Linked DNA regions of Schizosaccharomyces pombe. The protein of the gene in region 3 interacts with the protein of the main gene of each other region in a pairwise test. Each region holds a gene or a part of one and is shown on either strand. Other genes may lie near its edges. The genes, in order: bir1, pds5 and sgo2.

Region 1 (7,002 bases), on a different chromosome or scaffold from region 3:
GTGTTGAAGTTGAATGGTGAAAGTGCATTTAAAAGCAAAGTGATTAAGAAGAACTTAAATCCTGTCTGGAATGAAGAGGCTGACATTGTAGTGCAAAATCGAGTTTTGGATGTTTTGGAATTGGTTTGTTATGATTGGGACATGGGTGAAAAACCAGATGTTTTGGGAACGAGTAATATTGATTTGTTATCGCTTGAACCGAACGTTGAGTCTCAGCAATCGATTAAGTTGGACTCAAAGACTGGTACAATCAATGCATCTTTGCGCTTTGTACCTGGATGGCATCGTCGCAAAGCAGTACTGGATGTCACACTAGCAGATAATTTCTTACACGCTGCTAATAAGGGAGCTAAATTAGTAGTTGGCGGCGTAGGAGCTGCTGGAGGTTTAGCTCTCGCAGGTGTTACTACTATTGGCTCGGTAGGTAGTAAAGCTGTAACGGGGGTTGCTGATGGAGTCACTGGAACTGGTAAACATATAATTTCGGGCGCAAAAGGAATTTCCAAAATGGGCATGTTTAGGCGTTCCTTGGAAAAGAATCCATCTCGCTCTGATCTCACGACAACCCAGGAAGCTTCTTCTTCTGCTTCTGTGCCACCGGCTATTGCACCTGAGTCTGCAAACGCTGCCTTAACTAGCACTATTGACAAGACTACGGGAGCACCTGAATTGGCACAGAAAAAGTATAAAGTATACGTTGGTCAAGGTAAAAATATGCCTCATAAGACTATAAAGATTATCGTTACAGACAATCAAGACCACAGCTTTAAAACCAAATCTCGGAAAGGCCCGTCTCCCTCATGGAACGAAGAGATTCCGGTCAAATGGAGTTTGGGTGACGAACTTCGAATTTCAGCCGTTACTTCCAACTTGCTTGGACATACTAAACTGGGTGAAGCGGTATTTCAAGAAGATGCTATTGGTACATTTAGGGTTGTAATTGGTGGTTCATCTTCTGTTGAAATTAAGGTCGAAGCTGAGTAGTATGGGTAATGCTTCCGGTTCTTTTCAACGTTCGTTATACTTTACTTTCACTATCTTGTTGTTTAATTCATTCTATTCATATTGACTCAAATATAGTACCATATTTGTATATTGTGCTGCCAAAAAAATAAATACTATAAGAAGAATTATTAAGACTACATCACCAGATTAGCGTAGTGTTGATATAAATACAGATAATAAGAGGATCCGATTAACAAAACAAGAAACATAAAAGAAAAAGAAAGAAAAGGACGCTGACAGTGCATTCAGACAAATTTAGTTCACATTACTTTAAAATGTAGCCCGCCAACATTTTCGCTTAAAGCGAGACGGTCCATAAATACAGAAACACAATATGTAAAATTATAAGTTTTGTATGTATTCTTCCGCCCGCTTACCTTCTTCCAGTAACCATTCTATTTTTTCTTCACAGGCTTCTTCAAACTCTTTTGCACATTTAGCATACATAAATTTAATCCACTGCTCAACGGTCATATCCAGTTCTTTTTCACTTAGTTTGTTTGGCTCTACAGGATTCGGTACTGGAGATTCTAATAGACTCGAGAAATCTATGGGTTCCCATGGTGGTGCATTTGCTTCAACTAAGGGCAAAGCATGTTTTGATTTGACAGGAGTTTGAGGAGCCAAAAATGAAGATTGGCACAATGGATCAAATGGACTGATCGAATGGTCATAGTAGGATTCATCTAAAGGCTTCCGGACACTTGGCAAATTTATACTCGTTACTTCTTTCTCAGCGTAAGTTTTAGCGAAAGCTGAAGAGGTTTCACAAGAACCAGGTGAAGTTTCAACATCCTTTTTACTTACATTATCGATTTTATCTACCTTCGTTTCCTTCTCAGGTGTATTTTTCGACACTGATCTAGTACCATTCTGTACAGAAGTCCTAGAATTTTTGATTTCTTGATCAGGAAAAGCATCACTTAACGAGACTTTGTCTACCTCAGTCAATTTTTCTTCAATCTTTTCAATATTTTCTAATTCATGGTTGGCCTCCTTTTCTTGCAATTTATCAGAAGTTTCTGTATTAACAGCTTCAACGGTTTGATTGTTCTTGCTCTGTAGCTTAGGAGAATTAATGTCATCTTCTTGAAATGTCACTTTTTCGGAGTTTCCGACGTTTCTGTCAGGAAGATCCTTTAAGTAACTTCCTGATTCAAGTTCATTGGGTTGTACGATCGGCTGGGGATCCAGGCTTGAATGAACATTCATGACAGTATGACCAGAATTAGCTTCCTCATGATTAACATTTTCACTTTTTTCATCGGAAACAGGACTTGATACGTCTCTCGTCTTGGTCACTCCTCTATCTATAGAAACTCTAACCGTTTGGGACTCATCGCAAATGGCCTTTCTTTTTTCCTCAGGAAGCACTTCGCTAATTTCAGTTTTTGGTTTTTCTATAAAGTCCACTATTGATGTATCAAACTTTGTTTTTGATGTTGAGGTACTTTTTCCCTTCTCTAAAACTCCGCTTACAAGATTATCCTTCCTTTTAATTGCTAAGAGAGGAATTAGATCAATTAAAGGTTTGTCATCATTTTCAGATTCAGAAAGCAATTGTAGTGACTGTTCAGACTCCATACTCTTATTCTCAAGATCCTCAAATTTACTAACGTGAATGGCAGTTTGGCTGTCCTCTGTAACTTTTACTGGTTCATGTGAATCCTCAGTAGACGAAACTAAAATGTTTTTAGATTGTAAAACTTCTTGAAATTTTCTCTTCTTTTCAGGAATTGGTATTTTCAAATTGGTCTCGTCATTTTCATCATTTGCTTCTTCCGAGTTTCTCTTTTTTGAAATGTTGCTAAACGAATCTATTGTACTCCTTGGTGAAAAATTGGTTTGTAATATTTTATCTCTGAAGCTTGAAGAAGACACTCTACCTCCTGTTGCAGCATCAGTCATATCGGGAGATGAAGTTGATGGCTTTGAAGAGATTGGTTGTTTTGTGGACTCCTCTATGAACGAACCTTGAAGATTTAAATGCTCATCTTCTTTTTCAACCTTCTGCTGTTCCGGAGTTTCGATAGCAACTTGTTTTTCTGTATGATTTTGCTCTTTACCAACAGAAGAAACAGAAGACGAAATTTCCTTTGATTTGGAAACCACAGATATTTCTTCTTCAATTTTTGATTCGATTTCAATTTTCGGCGGCGTAGACATACAATTATTTTGCTCATCACTTTCATCAGTTACAGATTGATGTCCAGTTATGTCAGAAACAGTTGTGTGGACGGATGTAGCTGGTGATACAAGATGTTCCAGCTCATTATCTTTTTCATCTTCTTTAAGTGGAATTTCTTCTGTAAAATTCTTTTTGGCTACTTGCATAGAGTCATTACATATCCCTTTAGAGAAGGGTTGAGAGGCGGTCAAGTCGTCGTCATCTTCGTCTTCATCAGAAAAAATTGGCTTAACAGGTTTAAAGACTGCTGGCTTTGATTTTTTTGGAGATTTATTTTTTCGCCTTGGAGCCGTAAGTAAAACGGGCTTCGTTGGACTTTGTGGTGCACGGGTGGGTTGTGAGTCTTTCTCCTCAGAGGTATTAGTATAAAGGGACATTGTTAAAGGACGTGCATTAAGATTATTCTTTCTACTAGGGGAGAAATTTAAAGTTTTATGAGATTTTGTTGAATCTCGGGTGGGAGAAACGGGAAGAATGGAATTATCCTCGGTCAAGTCTTCAGGGTCAATGTTCGACGTAGATAAAAAAGACAGTTTAGTAGGAGATAAGCTATTTGGGTCTTTCCATGTAAAAAACACACAGTCCGCACGACGGCGTTTGTGCTCGGTGTAAGGGTCATCATCCGGTTCCCAATCATGAAGATTAATATCACAATATAAGCAATGAGCTGCATCTTTAGCATCAGCAGTTGGATTGTATACAAAACCAGAAGCAGCCATTACACTCGGCTCACAGTGATAATCAGGGCGATTGGTATACGGCCATACTTTATCAACAAAAGTTTGTTCTCGACATTTTGTGAGAGCTGCAGCTTGGGGGTTCTGGTTTGGATTGTTTTTTGAGGATAAAATATATGCCCATGGACAGCTGGGGCTATGAGTAATATGCTCTTTCAATGGATCATCATCATCCTCCCAGTCATAAAATGACTTGGTACACATATAGCATGTAACATTATCAAGTCTTTCTTCAGAATTAGATTCAGAGATTGGATTGTAATAGAAACCGACAGTAGCAAGCTATTTTCTTGTTAGCAACACAGATGAAAACTCTATCGTCAACATACAGTTTCTGGCGTCGGTTTGGCTCGCGGCCATTTTTTTTTCTGGAAAGTGTCAAGTCGTTTAGAGTAATTACACATTTCCCTTCGAAACCGATTCCATCGGCGTTTAGAAGAAGACGTTATCGGTTTCATTCTGAGCAAGCTTCAACAAGTGAAATTTAGATACCAAATTTCGACTTCCGATCCTTAAAACTATAAAATTAATTTTTTTAAAACTTCTGGTTATTGTCTTTAGACAATATCAGATACTTCCAAATGCATAGGATAGGGAAGGTCGCCTCGCAAGGCGTATATGGGTAATGTTTACTTTTTGTAGATTGCTAGGGCACACGAGTTTACTGTAATTGAACAATGTCGTTATATTGCGTAAAATGTCGTTAAGTAGTATAGCAGACTTTAATAAATGGAAGGTTCACTGGTTACAAATTTTTCGAGATGACTAGGTTTAGATATTATATTGAGTAAGGAAGATTCAATTATTGTCTTTAATGTCAGCCTTATGATCTTTGTTAATAAATTCAAAATTTAACTAGAAGATTTTTGCTAGCACAAAGTAATGTATCATAGTTTGGTACTAATATTGTTACATATAATAATATTAAAGCTCCAACTCTAAAGTATGGAGCATCGTGAAAGAAGAATAAGGCTACATTTTCATGGCTATTCAAAGGAAACTATGCATATCAACAAGACAAATCTGATTTCATTTTCCTCTTTCGATGCGATGGTCAAAGTTATGAATACAATGATGAATCAGCTGTCTCATTAGAAAAAAGTTGAAAAGAGGATGACAAATGCGGTGGAAATATTGAACTTCCTAAAACCTCAAATAAAAGTTAAGCAATAGAGGAAGTACAATCATGAAGACAATGTAAAATAAATTAATTGAATTAGTCCCATGTTGTTTCAAAGGTACAAAACCTGTATCTAGTAGTGGAGCAGCCAAAAGCTACAACTAAATCGACAACAAAGACCAAAACTGTTGAATGATTCCTGTGTTTCGTCAATAAAACAAATAATAAACTCACAAAATAACCACGATCTATAAACCATTCGTTGGTTAGAAAGTGAATGAAAAAAAGTAAACAAAAGTTCGTTTCGACACGCACACTCAGGACGGACTTGAGAAATAATTTAACAAGTACAAGATGTTCAACTTTCCAGCACAATCATTAAACAACAATATAACAAAATGAGAAGAGTGACAACTGCGGAATGTATGTCTAGGTAAACCTCCTAAAATGTAATAATCTCGTCTAATAACAATCGCGCCATACACGTAAAGGTAAATGAAAAAATCGGCATCCTCAATTGCTCAATGAAATAATTTAACGATATTATAAACCACAGGACCACAGCCAAAATCATGAAGCCACTTCGATGTTTATGAAAATGAACAATCTAAAAAAGAACGAAACCTAAACAAGCATAAATGAATAATGTATGTGAAGTATCATTACATAGCCATATCTTCGGCATTAGTCGCCGAAAATTGAAAATCGCCGGCAGGCTCTTGTGTAGTTCCAAATGTAAACGTATCACCGACGGTTTCTGGTTCAAGCTCTTCGATTTCGTCTTCTTCACCGAAAAACTTTTCGATAATATTGTAAGCTTTTTGGTAAATTTCCGAATTAGATGAGTTCTGACATTCGTGGATCAAATCCATACCACCAGCATCCTCAACGTAGACGGCGTATAAATTGATTTTATCAGGGTTATTCGCGCGATCAAGTTCACCCACTCGCAAAATATTTTCAATACCATCTAAAGCAACCTGGATAATCTTGTTATCTTGACAAGCCAGCAAATTACATAAAGGTTTGATTGCGCCTTGCTCTACAAGGTAGCGAATTTGGTCGGGACGACGAGCGCCACCGGATGTGGCATTGGAAATGGCCCAGCAGGCTTCCTTTTGGATTTTAAAGTCAGCGGTCGTAAGGAGATGAATTAAAGGAGGAATAATGTTAGCTTCAATAACATATTGAATTTGAGAAGAATTACCGGCCGTTATATTACTAATTGTCCAACAGGCTTCCTTACGAACGCCATCGCGTGGACTGCTTAACAAAGAAAGTAAAGCACTTAAAGCACCACAATTAATGATGACCTGGGTCTGAACGTCATCTCCTGTAACAATATTTCCTACGGATCGGAGAGCAGGAGTCTGTACTTGAGCGCTAGGATGCATTAAAAGTTCAACAAGCCTACGAGGAATCCCTGCATCAATGATGGCTTGGATCTTCTCATTAGCGCCATCAGATAAATAGGAAATGGCCCAAAGGGCATCAACTAAAACATCTTCGTCTAAGGTATAAATTAATTTCGACAGAACAGGGATAACTTGCGAAATGCTGTTCCAATCGGGTTGTGGATTTTTGCCTCGGCACATATTAGACAGGGTCCAAGTACTATTGCGGAGCATACTAAGACGCCTGTTAGATTCGATTATGTTAAGCAAAGGCTCCAAAACTCCACATTGCAAAACATGATCACGACACATGGGTGAATCACCAGCAATGTTACCTAATGCCCAAACTGCTTGCTCGCGTACATCTTGTTCAGAAGAAGATAAAAGGCTTACAAAAACAGGAACAGCATTTGCTTCTACAACCACGTGTGTTTGATTGGAAGATCCGCTAGCCACATTAGTGAGAGCCCAAGAAGCCTCAAATTTTAATAAATTGTTCTCATGAGATAAAAATTCGACGAAGCGGGGGACAACGCCTGCATCAATAACTTTTTGAAT
Region 2 (7,317 bases), 1.8 Mb from region 3:
CTTCTCATGTACAGTCCGAAACCGAGAATGCTCCTGTAAGTAAACCAAGTAAACCAAATACTTTGACTGAAGATGAAAAACCTTTACAGTCTACGAAGCTCCCTGGAAATTCTCTTACTGTTGGTGAATTATACCAAGAACCCAAAAGTATCCAGCTGCCCGAATTGTCTGTTTCACGGACTACTTATTCGGCTCAATCCTCTTCTGTCAAAAATTGCAACGAACGCATTCCCTCTGCTAAAGCTCTAAAAAAGCAAAAGCATTTAGTTCCGGAAAACAAATCAAAATTGCAATATGTATGGCAGAAAAAAGAAAGCCTCCCTTATGCTAACCTTACTTCCGCAAGTAATACGCACTTTTTTCTGTCGGAAAACCAGAACGACACTTCTGAACGGTTGACCCGTACTTTGAGAAAAAGCACAAAAAACTATACGTTTGGCTCTTATATATTGGGAAGGACAATCGGTACCGGCGAGTTTGGAAAGGTTAAACTTGGCTGGCCTTTACCAAAAGCCAATTCTACTATTCACCGCTCAACACCGCAAGTTGTAATTAAAATAGTTTTGTCTACGAAGCAAAACTGTCAAACAAGCCGATTGATGCGAGAGGTGGCCATTTTAAAAGGTTTGGGTAATAATCACCCCCATATTGTAAAATATTTGGATTTTGTAAAAACTAAACATCATTTTGGTATAGTACTAGACTATGTTAATGGTGGTGAACTTTTTGATTATATACTGGCGCGCCGAAGACTTGAAGATTCGGTTGCTTGCCGACTGTTCGCACAATTAATAAGTGGTGTTGCCTATTTACATTCTCGAGGAGTGGTACATAGAGATCTGAAGTTGGAGAATATATTGCTAGATACTAATCGAAATATCGTAATTGCGGATTTCGGCTTTGCGACTACTTTTGGGCACTTTAATACTCTCAGTGAACACTCATTGCCCACGGAAAAGCCAGATTTATTTAGTACATCATGTGGATCGCCTTGTTATGCGGCCCCTGAATTAGTGAATTGCAAGTCTGGAATGTATGCTGGCACACAAGCAGATATTTGGAGTTGCGGTGTCATTTTATATGCAATGTTGGCTGGGTATCTACCATTTGACGATGATCCACACAATCCAAATGGAGAAAATGTCCCTCGACTCTATCGGTATATTTGCAGTACTCCTTTAATATTTCCGGAGTTCTTTAAAAGCAAAGCTCGCGACATTCTTAAAAAAATTTTAGTTCCTGATCCAGCAAAACGTGTCCGAATGTCAGCAATTATGAATCACGCATATCTCCGGTCTCATGTGTCTCTATTTGAAACGTATAACGATGATGAAGCGACCTCACTGCGTCCGTCTCCCATCCGTTTGCTTTCTCAAAAATCTTTAGCTAGTGTTTCTTCAGTTTCGTCAATCAGCACTTACTCTTCTTCCATTGAATTGACTCCTCAGATCACAAAAACTTCATTAAATCGAGAAAAACCGGCATTACATGGCAGCATCAATCTTAAACACTCAACGAGGCCGGTTGTACCAATTGCAGATGGTATCTATGCTTCTACTACTCTTCATCCAATCGATAATGCTAAAAACCGCTTGGTTTCTTTACTGCGCCGTCCCAAGCATAAGGTTAAGCATGCCAAAGTTGAAACACGTGAATCTCCTATGAAAAATAAGCCAACTAAGAAACAACACAAGCGTGCATTTAGCATGTTTGAGAGGCCCACTTCTCAGAAAGCCCCATTGTCACCAGTAGAAAGCAAGATTAACCTTATGGTTGCTCCTAAACGTGTATTAAATTGTGCTTCAGATTCTTTAAGAGCTTTATTAGCAGGAAAGACGGATAAATCTTTTTGGGGTTCACGTATACCATTCTTGTTTAATAAATTGAAATCCAAACAGAAGGCTGTATCCAGCTCCTTCAATACGGAAAACTCATTTTTAATTCTTCAAGCAGTTTCGCCTTTAACTTTTGGAGGTTGTTTCAAAGAAGAAAACGCGTATGGGCAGAAGAAGCAGCACATGAGACACGCTACCGTTTTTTAATGTTTGCGTTACGATATTGTATATCTCAACAATGCATGATAATTATCAAACTGCCTGTTTCCTATATTAGTTTTTTAAAAAGATGGCTCTTCGACTTTTTCTTAAGAAAAGCGGTTTATATGGTTATCAATTATTAAAGCTTGAATTGATTGTTTGACAATGTTGAACAATGGGTTTCCTAAAAAAAGACGCTTTAGCTGATTTTTATCGTTTATCAGCGTGTATATTACTTGCCTTGTACTTTACAGTTTCCGCTTTTCATCTTTATTCTAACTTTTTATTTTAATTTTTAATTTTTTGGTACAAGCACCTTTCGTTCTTTAAACTACTTTTAAACTATTAAATTTCTTTCACTCATATGTCCTTATATCTAATTCACTCGTTAATAATATTTTATCATTACCCTTGAGTTATACTTATTAGTAAATAGTGTAATATTTTAATTACAATAAATGGAACGCGTTCTTTTACGCGTCTCTTCTTTAAGCAAGTACATTGCGAGTCTAACACGAACGTAATAAAGAGTTGAGCACCACATTTTGAAATCGCATCTTTCAAGCTTCAATATTGCGAAGTACTAATTAATAAAATCAGCCTATGGCTCTTATGGATATAGAGCATTGAAAGTTTACTGCATTTGTCATTTATTTGTTAAATACCCAAGGTGAATAGTACAAAAGCGTGCAAAAGCCAACTTTTGCGATGATAAAGTTACAGTTTCAAAGAAACATTGTCCCAACACATGACAATCCGTTAACGACTTCCGAGATTTTAAAACGACTACGTGATTTACTAGGAGAGCTTACTAGCCTATCCCAAGATACTATCGACCGTGACTCAGTATTGCCAGTAGCACGATCATTAGTAAATAACAATTTGCTCCATCACAAAGATAAAGGGATACGCTCTTATACACTTTGTTGTATTGTTGAATTGCTTCGTTTATGTGCCCCCGATGCGCCCTTCACTTTATCACAATTGGAAGATATTTTCCAAGTAATTCTCAAAATTCTTAGTGGTCTTATGAATCAAGAATCTACTTATTATCCACAAATTTACGAGATATTAGAGAGTTTGTCGAACGTTAAATCTGCAGTTCTAATAGTTGATCTCCCGAATGCTGAAGAATTCTTAGTAAATATCTTTCGTCTCTTCTTTGATTTAGCGAGAAAGGGTACTACCAAGAATGTCGAGTTTTACATGCTTGATATTATTAACCAGTTGATCAATGAGATTAACACCATTCCTGCTGCTGCCTTGAACATACTATTTGCTCAACTAATATCAGGAAAGGGCGTAAGGCAAACAATTGGCTCTTCCGATTCTACTAATCACGGTCCAGCTTTTCAACTAGCGAGAAATATTTTTCATGACTCAGCAGATCGACTACAAAGATATGTTTGCCAGTATTTCTCAGATATTATATTCGATTCAAGAGATTCGCTTTCTGACTCCATGACTACTCCAGAATTTATATTCTCGCACAATTTAGTTTTACAATTATGGAAATATGCACCAACCACGTTATTGAACATTATTCCACAATTCGAAAATGAATTGCAAGCTGAACAAACTAGTGTGCGACTTGTGGCGATAGAAACTGTTGGTTTGATGCTCCAAGACAACGCCATATGGTCCGATTATCCTAGGGTATGGAGTGCATTTTGTGGTCGGCTCAATGATAAATCAGTTGCATGTCGTATCAAATGCATTGAAGTTGCTTCCAACGCTCTTCAGAATTCATTGGCTACTTCTGAGATAATTGAAAACGTAGTTCAAATGCTTCAATCAAAGTTGGCCGACACGGATGAAAAGGTGCGGGTTGCTACTCTTAAAACGATCGAACAGTTGACTTTCGAAACCTTTAAAATGCAATTTTCAGTACAGGCTTTGAAACTCATGGGTGACCGTTTACGTGATCGTAAACTCAATGTTCGTTTACAAGCAATTCGGACACTAAGTCAAATTTATAATAGAGCATATCAAGACCTTATAGATGGTGTGGAATACTCAATACAGATGTTCAGCTGGATCCCTTCATCTCTTTTGGAAGTATTTTATGTTAATGATGAAACAACTAATGCGGCTGTTGAAATTTGTATGGCTGAACTGGTCCTACAATACCTTAGTTCTGATACGCAAACAAGGTTAAACAGGCTTTTCCTTTCAATAAAGTATTTTAGTGAAAAAGCGATGCGAGTTTTTATTCTACTTTTACAAAGACAAGTTAAGTATTCGGAACTCTTAAATTACTACATTGAGTGCTGCAAAAATTACAATGGAGGTGTTATGGATAATGATGAAGAGTCAATTACCAACAAGCTTAAGAAGGTGATTGATATCATATCATCAAAAAGTTCTAATCCTACATTAACAGAAGCCACTTTCAGAAAATTTGCGGAACTTAATGATCGTCAAAGCTACAAAATGCTTTTACAAACGTTTTCCATTAAAAGTGAATATCAAGTTGTTTTAAAAAGCATAAAATATTTATTTAAAAGGGTTTCTGAAACGTTGAGTACCGCAAGTCTTGAATGTTTTAGAATATTCGTTTACCGTTCAGCTCTGTTTGCTTTTAATAAAAGCAACGTGCATGAAATAATTCAATTATTAAATGAACCTGTAAAATACCACAATTTCCTTAAGCCGTCGGAGGCTCTTTTACAGCATTTACCGCTAATTCATCCCAACATATATGGAGAGGTTGTTATAGAAGTTGAAAATATTATAGTTTCTTCGGGCATTGAATCGGATCCTAAAGTAATTAAAGCTCTTTCCCAATTCTCCAAAAGAAAAAAAAATTTTTCTATACAAACAACAACTGCTGAAATACTACGAAAGTTGTGTCTACATGGAACACAGGAACAAGCCAAACAGGCAGCGACGATTATCGCTATAACGGAGACGAAAGAATTCAAACTCGATATGATAACGAATATCGTGGAAAATTTGGAGTATAATGGAGGACTTCCTGTACGGCTTATGACTTTAGGACAACTATTTCTATACACTTTAGAAGAGGTAGAGAAGGTTGCTGACCAAGTTACAGAATTTTTAGTAAAAAAAGTTATACAGCGCTTTCCTGAAAAATATGATGATACGCATAATGATGAGGAATGGTGTACTTACGAAAAATTAGATAATCTTACCATGTGCAAAGTTTTAGCAATTAGGGTTTTGGTTAATCGACTGAGGGCGGCGGCAGGAGGAACCGAAGCGTTAAATATTGGAGCTCCTATCATTAAGCTATTGAAAGTATTGTTAATGGCTGACGGTGAATTAAGTCCGTTCAAGAATACTCCCAAAATTTCTCGTGCTTATTTACGTCTCACTGCTAGCAAATATTTTTTAAAGTTATGTTCCATTCCTTTTTATGCGGAACATATAGATTTTAGTTCTTACGTTCAAATCTCCTTATTATGCCAAGATGAAAATTTTGACGTGAGAAATTTATTTTTGACGAAGCTTCAGAAGCAGCTGCAACTTAAAAAGTTGCCAATTAGTTATTATCCTTTATTGTTCCTGACTGCTGTTGATCCGGAAGAGGAGATCAAGACTAAAGCGTCTATATGGATACGTTCTCAGGTTGCTTTTTTCCAGAAAACCCATGATTTTACCATGGAATATGTAGCAACATATCTTATCCATCTTCTCTCTCACCATCCAGACATATCTTCGATAGAATCAGAGAACTCGCTTGATTTTATTGCATACATTCGCTTTTACGTTGACACTGTTGTTAATAGTGAGAACGTCCCAATCGTTTTTCATCTAATGCAACGCATAAAACAAAGCTATGATGTTATTGAAGATGGAAACAATTACATTTATGTGCTAAGCGACATGGCTCAGAAAATATTGCAGGTGAAATCCCAGAACTTTGGATGGAGTTTGACTACGTATCCAAAGCAAATTAAATTACCTTACGAAATTTTAAGACCAATTCCCTCTATAGATGAGAAAAAGAGAATTTTCAATAAAATCTTCATAACGCCTAAAATGGAAAGTCAGATTGAACATGCTATAAGGACACCAGTCTCATCTTTTGCGAAACAGACTACCAATAAGCACGCAAATTTGAAGCAAAAGAAGACTCATAGCTCAAAGAGCGATAAAAAATCGTCTAGAAGAAGGAAAAACGAAAAAAGGAGAAAGCTAAATGAGCAGAATCCTAATATTAGGAACGTGCCAGAACGAAGTAGCTCAAGATTTCAAGGGATTCGTATAAATTATTCGGAAGCACCGTCTTCAAGTGAGGAGATAAGCGAAGAAGAGGAGGAAATTAGCGAAGAAGATTTTGATGAAATAGAGGATTTATAAAAAAGGCTTATTTGGATGCGAAATACCGATACTAGAACACTTACCCAATATTACCAATGAATTTTCAATGTTAATTAGATAAATTGCTATCTTTTTTGTTAAACAATCTATGCTTGCTAATTGCCTAAACTTTTGAAAGATGACTCCATCACATACATGCCTCCATAACTTCTGCATCTATTAATTTTTTTCATTCCTAGTAATATAATAATAAAAGTTGCATTTTTGAGTTTTTTTACGCTTTACAATTCGTAAAATCTAATAGTGAGATTGGATTAGCCGCTGTAGTATATCTTAATAAAGCATGGCTGGGCGAACTAATTACGGTGACCGCACAATATATTTACCTACAACCAACACCGGTGTTTGATACTTAGGGGTTTGAACTTTCTAGGAATTCAATAAAGTGAAGCAAAGCTTTACGATTAATTATTTTTTGTGAAATAGTATGCCCACCATTAAGTGTGTCGTAGTAGGAGACGGTGCTGTAGGAAAGGTGAGTTGATGTTTACGGAAGGTGAAGTTAAGCAATGCATAAAAAAATACAAGAATTGCTATCATCTAAAATGAAGTTTCTTTTGTCTATACATTCCCCTTTATTTCTTTCTTTCCAAAAATTGTTCTTTTGAGTTTTACACATACTGACCGTTTGAATGTAGACCTGTCTGCTTATTTCCTATACTACAAACAAGTTTCCTAGTGACTATGTGCCAACTGTATTCGATAATGTAAGTATAATTAGTTGTTTATGGAATGAAGTACTTGGTGAAGTTTTGTCCCCATATTAGAAATTTTTTACTATTCAAATGTTCGGTCACGGAAAATTTTGATATAAGGCTTTTTGTCAAAAAAAGGCTGAAGGATTAAACAATGACTCAATGTATTTATCGATTTTATCTCAGAAACTATTGAAAGTTTAATAATTTTTTTTTATCCGATGCTTTTTTTTTTCCAC
Region 3 (5,951 bases):
TATCTAAGTACTTATAAAAGCGTAAGTCTAATCTAAGCCTTTACATATTTTTCCTATTTACTAATAGTTCAGTCCACTCACTTGTACATTGCAACGGAAACTGTAAGACCTGTCACAACTGAACTGAATGAACTATCTGCGGAAATAAAAACTTACGGCCTTTGGAGGGTTTCGGTATGTAATTTGAGTTCAAAATGTGGATTAAAACTAATTTAAACGTGTTTAGGCTGCATTGTCATTTCTCAATGATAAAAATATTGTTCATGGAAACCTTCAAATGTCTTCTGTTTATCTTAATAGTGCAGATGAATGGATAATAGGCGACTTTTTCTTAGCAGGTGATTCACCACAATTTATAAAGGATAATCATGACAAAATTCTGAACTGGAGTCGGTTGGTTCCGTTTGAAATTCAGTCTTCAACATTAAATAGTGCTTCATTCATTTACTTGGATTCTTATGAATTGGGAAAGTTCATTTCTCATCTTTATAATGGAACGCCAGGGGACTTATCTCAGCGTGGAAACATTCCAGCCAATATATTTGTTTCTGCAAAAAAACTGTTGAATGTGGAAGGAAAGCAAAAGTTATTAGCTTCAGAATTTCTAAAACTTGGCGAGCGTCCTGGGGGGTTTTTTCGTACACATTTGATTACGTTATATGAACTTTTGTCCGAGGTTCGAATAAACGAAGAGGAAGATAGAGTGAAATTAAAACAACTTCTTTCGTCAAAGCTAGAAGTAATTCCTAAAAACTATATACAAAAGGTTGTATTAAACATCCTCTTTCTACTATTATCGATTGACACCCATTCGGACGTCGTTGAGCTTCTATTCAAATGTGCTCAAATTGTAAAAGGAAGACCGGATATAGAAAAAGACTTTGGAGTACCGTTATTGTCTCTTTTGAAACAACAAAGCGTTCCCATACGAGGCTTGCTACTTTCCGGAATCATTAACAATCCCGACGTGCTACCAAAGAATATATATGAAGACACTAGCTTTTCAGTTTTCGCGAACCTTGTGCGCTCCAATTCTCCCACCTTAAAAGAACATGCTATTGTTGTTTTTTCCATTATAGCACCAAAAGTAAGCCATCTTATCTTACAAATTGCTAATTAGTATACAGCTTTCGAAGAAAACATTGAATAATGAACTACTACGAAGCTTAGCGGTTGTCCAAAATGACCAACATCCTACTTTACGTACCAACAGTACCATTTGTCTAGGTAAAATTGCTGAATATTTAGATGCCAGCGTAAGACTAAGAAGAACTAAACGTTAGGACTTTATTTTTAACAGATTTAGGTGCGAAAACCCGTTTTAGCTGCTGCTTTATCACGTTCTCTTAAAGACCCATTTGTTCCTGCTAGAGAGGCAGCCTTAAAAGTACTCCTCTCAGTTCAAAATTACTTTGATACAAAGGATGTGGCCATCAAACTTTTCCCATCGGTGGTGCCATTACTAATTGATGAAAACGAGTAAGATTTTTTTGAACCTGTATACCACTTAGGAATTACTAACTTTTTGACGTTATTAGAGGAATACGAAGAACAGCTGAGGATGTCACTGACCAATTTTTGAGCCGTATAAAAAACTTTAATTTAGGGGAAAAAGAAAATGTTTCCGCACCGGCAAAATTTAATGGTTCTTTTTGGTCCAAATTTATTCATTCATCTTCTGCTTCTCCTTCGCCTTCTATCGATATGAAAAAGGAGTCGCTTGAGTTAAAAAATGATACCACTGAAATAAAAGAAAAAAAAAATTCAAAAAGTAGAGTTGTTGGAAACACTGAAAACTCTAAGGATGAATTCAATAATCCTCTTTTTGAAACAGAGGAACAGATAGACGAATCTTGGATGGAAAACTGGAATGACGAAGAGGAAACAGAAAATAACGTAGAGGAAAGTTGGGGGTTATAATTTGATTGAATTTAATTAATAATTTTTCGTGGTCAAGATTAATTCACGACTAAATCACATGTCGACTAAGTACTCCATGTACTACTCGTTTTGACATATTTCAATCAAGCTTGATTTTTAATAATTAATATTTTTAATAGCTAATTATTTTTCTCTTTGAACATTTATTAATACCACTGAAAGGATTAGTGAATGGTAGTTCTTTCTTTAGTTATCTATCTATTCGTAAATTCAAAGTATAGTAAATGTAAAAGGATTTTAATGTTCTTTTCAAAGAGTGTATCATTAGTAGTCAAATAATTCGTACTTCGACTATCCAGCACCTCTACACCTTGTTGATAATGATACTGCTGTACAGCCGCGTTTAAGTACTAAACCTCCACCGGGAACGTGGTCAATGAAGTACATCGGGATTTTCTATTTATAATGTCGAAAGCATCTCTTTCCCCGAACGTAGAAGACTGTACGTGATACTTATATTAATCTCAACTGATGAATTAGTGAAAAAAAAGCAAATTCGACAGTATAAGGAAATTATACGGTACGCATACATTTTTGTTGGAATTGAATAATTAATTAACACATACAAAGAATAAGCAAGGCACAATCAATTAGAATTAAAGAATTGCAGTTAGAAAATGAACGGTTGCTTTCGGAAAATATCGATTTGAGGACTACAGCGATAAACTTGGAAGAGCAACTCGAAACCGTGCAAAACGAAAACGAAGAAAACAAAACAAAGTTAGCTGCATTACTTAATCGATTTCATGAAGAAACAGATAATTTTTTATCAAAATTAAGTCTTTGTCAGCAAGAAATACAAGGTACGTGTTTGAATTCATATCGTTTTTAGCTAATTGAACACAGACACCTTCAAACCAGTGGAGGCTAACTTAGCTTACGATGTCGATACGGATTCTGAAGACCTTGACGAGGTAAGTTGAATCGTATTATGTTTTTCAGATATGTTTATCTAACGTCTGAAAGGAATCCGTCGTGAAAGATACCGAAGAAATAATTGAGCAAGCTCAGCATGATGTTTCCTTACGAAATTTAAGTGGAATAGAGGATGAAAATATAATTGATGACGGAGAAACTGCTATAAATGAACAAAAAAAAAGAGAAGCTAATGTTTTTTCCGACACGCAATCAGCACCTCAGCTAAAATCCGGCAAAGCCCTCCCAGCTGATTTTGAAAATCCTTACAATCTATCCAATTCGAAACCTGTAAATAATAATAATGAAGATAGAGTTGAAGCGGTTACTTCTGAAAATAAATCTATCGATTCTGCTCCTCAGGAAAAAAATCATGAATACGAAATCGTTAGTCCAAAATCATTATCCAACAAAATTAATAATCAAGCAGCTGCACAAAGAAGAACCGAAGAAGATAATGCAAATGGAGTTGCTCAAGAAGAAAATGAGGGTTCACAAGAAGCTCATTTTCATAGCAGAATACAATCTGATACAGTAATACAAAGTACACCCACTAAACGGAAATGGGACGTTGACATTCAAAATAAACAAATTAATCTGGCTTCTGCAGCTACCAATGTTACCGGTTATGTATCGGAGACCGATAGTCGCCCCAATCGCGCAAACTCTTTGGATTCTGCTGTCCTTCTTGTGCAATCTTCAAATAAAAGTAACCGAAATGGGCATCATATTTCAGATCCTAATTTAAATAGCTCCATATCGTTGAAGTTTGCGCCTGAAGATACTGCGCATAATTCATTAACTTCACAAGAGAATGTTGGGCCTCAGGTTACGACGACTTCTCTGTCAAATATGACTGTTGCTGAATCTCCTCGTACAGACACTCCAAGGGAAATAAACGGGTTAGTAGACTCTTCTGTCACTAATGGGAACGAAAAATTTTCTGTAGAAATAATGAATGACTCTAACAAAATTGGACTGAATCCTAAATCTTTTACCGACGAAGAGCGGGAAATTTTAACACTTTTTCGAAATCCTCCCATGAGACTGTCAAGTGAACCTCCATCTTCAAATGGATTTTCAATAGCCCATCCCAATAATTCTCCGTTACGTCCGCCATCGCTACAAGGAATATTGAATGCTGAAGATCGACCTTACGAAATTGAGCCGTCACGTAGCTCCTTTGCTACCAACGATACGGGCTCCTATAATAATTTGGAACTTCTGTCATCTGTAACGAATTTGAAATCCCCTAATGAGAACGATCGTGTGACGAAAACTCAGTCGCGAAGAGAAACAAAAGTGAAAAGGCGAAGAAAAGCTCGGATTCAAGAAACTTCTGAAGAAAGTACAGTAGTCAATGAGCCAAATGAAAAACCTGATGGAAGGAGCCGAAGGGAACGGAAAAAGGTTAATTACGCTTTGCCTGGATTAAGGACGAAATTAAGACGGAATTTCGATTTACCTTCAGATCATGTAAAAGCTAAAAAAACGAGACGTGCTCCTAAGAACTCTGAGAATGATTCAGCTACCAAAACAGAAACCGCAAACATTACTTCTGAAGCACCCACTACTTCAGAAGTAACCCTTGAAAACTCCGAAACCCTTAATTTGTAATATTATGTAATTAAATACCTTTCGACATCGTTTAGTTGGTTCAGATTTTTTAAGTGGAGGTATGCGTCAATTTGAAATAAAAAGTCAATATTTTGGGAGTTAACCTTTGGTATTTCATATTACTTCTTTCTTTGTTTATTCACATTTTGTTCTTGTCATTAACGTTATGTACAAATATATGGTTTGGTTAGTTAAATACAATAAACAGGTGTGTAAATATATTATAAAATTACTTAGCAATCCTCACAAATTCAATTTACTATGTACCTTAGCACATTCATCAAGTAGTCCATTTCTAGTGTACCTCGATCGCCCTCGGTGGAAGTACTAACCTACGCAACTGAGTCTAATAAGTCAATATTCTTATGTTTTGTATATAACAAACCTAATTGGTTTTGTGTTTTCTCTTATGTTTATTGTTTTAAGTTTAAGTTGAACTTTCAATCCTTTTTTTGCGATTAGGATCATTGCTTTACTCATCTATTGGGACCAATGTTTAATAACGGCGATAATATGTCTCGTGAACGTTTTTCTTCCAATCATTCAATGCAAAGACAAAAGACTGAATCTCGAGCAAATTTTTCTCGAAGATTAGTCCCTTCCGACTCAAATCGGAAGCCTGTACCTAATGGCGCGTCCAACAGCCCTTTGTCAAGAGATGCAGCGTCTCATTTAATTAGTACAATCGAGACATCGATAATGAAGCTTTTAGTTGTAACAAAGGAGCTTCTTGAAAGCTTAACAAACTGGAGCAAAGGTACAGTTAATGATAGTGCTGTTTCATCCGTTTATGTTACTCTAATAGGGGAATTCCTTCAGACAACCAAGTCCTTTCATGAAGCTGGTATTGAAACTGCAGATTTAAATGATTTTCCGCTAGAACTCAGATCAGTCCTAGAGCAAACACTGGAAAAAACACCATCTTCTGATGCTTTGGAGACCAATCTTCCTAACGTAAGGGAGCTGGTTATGCACCTCCTACAAAGCTTGAAGTATAAGCAATCTCTGGTTAAATCCAGATTAAATCAATCTAGGTCAAATTTGCCTCAAATGACCCGTGAAGCGAATGATAACGATGTTAATCGCCGTAATAGTCGTGGTTCTTCCCAAGGAAGCATATCATCATTTAGAAATCCTGATTCGAGAAAGCAATATGAAGAAACTACGAGTGCCTCATTAAGTGCTCCTGGAGCCTTTGATGCATTGAAGCAGACAAATGCTCTCGAACGCCGAGCTAGCAAACGACTGTCACACATGGTAAAAGACCAGCAAAACAATGAGGGATCTTCTCAGAATTTGAGGAATATCACTGTTGAATCTGTCAGAGGCTTTCTTCGTGATTCCTCAAAGCCAGACAATATAATGGACTCACCGTCTCCCAAAGTATCTAAAAGGCCATCTATCGTTAGACAAGATAGTCATGATTCAAATAAGCTTTCAAGAAGACCTACAATAAATACAAGTTTTGATAGAAAGTT

What was found.
Region 1: the proteins of sgo2 (region 3) and bir1 interact in binary tests that used the Schizosaccharomyces pombe proteins (3 or more experiments, as listed by UniProt).
Region 2: the proteins of sgo2 (region 3) and pds5 interact in a two-hybrid assay, tested with the Schizosaccharomyces pombe proteins (one study listed by BioGRID).

Annotation. Positions count from the first base shown.
Region 1 is NC_003421.2:544,761-551,762, forward strand, and holds bir1 (survivin Bir1), read right to left. Parts: upstream 4,540-7,002; 5' UTR 4,389-4,539; coding exon 4,260-4,388; exon of another isoform or gene 4,213-4,259; coding exon 1,348-4,212; 3' UTR 1,045-1,347; downstream 1-1,044. Other genes in the region: tricalbin, C2 domain protein (phospholipid binding) ER-plasma membrane tethering protein Tcb1, read left to right, coding at 1-984; importin alpha family nuclear import signal receptor adaptor Cut15, read right to left, coding at 5,713-7,002. UniProt on the Schizosaccharomyces pombe protein: Component of the chromosomal passenger complex (CPC), a complex that acts as a key regulator of chromosome segregation and cytokinesis.
Region 2 is NC_003424.3:1,909,298-1,916,614, forward strand, and holds pds5 (mitotic and meiotic cohesin loader subunit Pds5), read left to right. Parts: upstream 1-2,550; 5' UTR 2,551-2,744; coding exon 2,745-6,362; 3' UTR 6,363-6,600; downstream 6,601-7,317. Other genes in the region: serine/threonine protein kinase Ppk1, read left to right, coding at 1-2,042; Rho family GTPase Cdc42, read left to right, coding at 6,811-6,858, 7,022-7,090. UniProt on the Schizosaccharomyces pombe protein: Required for the establishment and maintenance of sister chromatid cohesion during S phase. Prevents their formation until eso1 is present. May also have a role during meiosis.
Region 3 is NC_003424.3:3,711,841-3,717,791, forward strand, and holds sgo2 (shugoshin Sgo2), read left to right. Parts: upstream 1-2,301; 5' UTR 2,302-2,346; coding exon 2,347-2,383; exon of another isoform or gene 2,384-2,421; coding exon 2,422-2,461; exon of another isoform or gene 2,462-2,511; coding exon 2,512-2,744; exon of another isoform or gene 2,745-2,787; coding exon 2,788-2,855; exon of another isoform or gene 2,856-2,907; coding exon 2,908-4,473; 3' UTR 4,474-4,745; downstream 4,746-5,951. Other genes in the region: protein kinase domain and HEAT repeat protein Ppk3, read left to right, coding at 1-21, 73-174, 227-1,087, 1,128-1,256, 1,307-1,479, 1,539-1,920; bud6 (actin-interacting protein 3), read left to right, coding at 4,966-5,951. UniProt on the Schizosaccharomyces pombe protein: Involved in chromosome cohesion during mitosis and meiosis by preventing premature dissociation of cohesin complex from centromeres after prophase, when most of cohesin complex dissociates from chromosomes arms.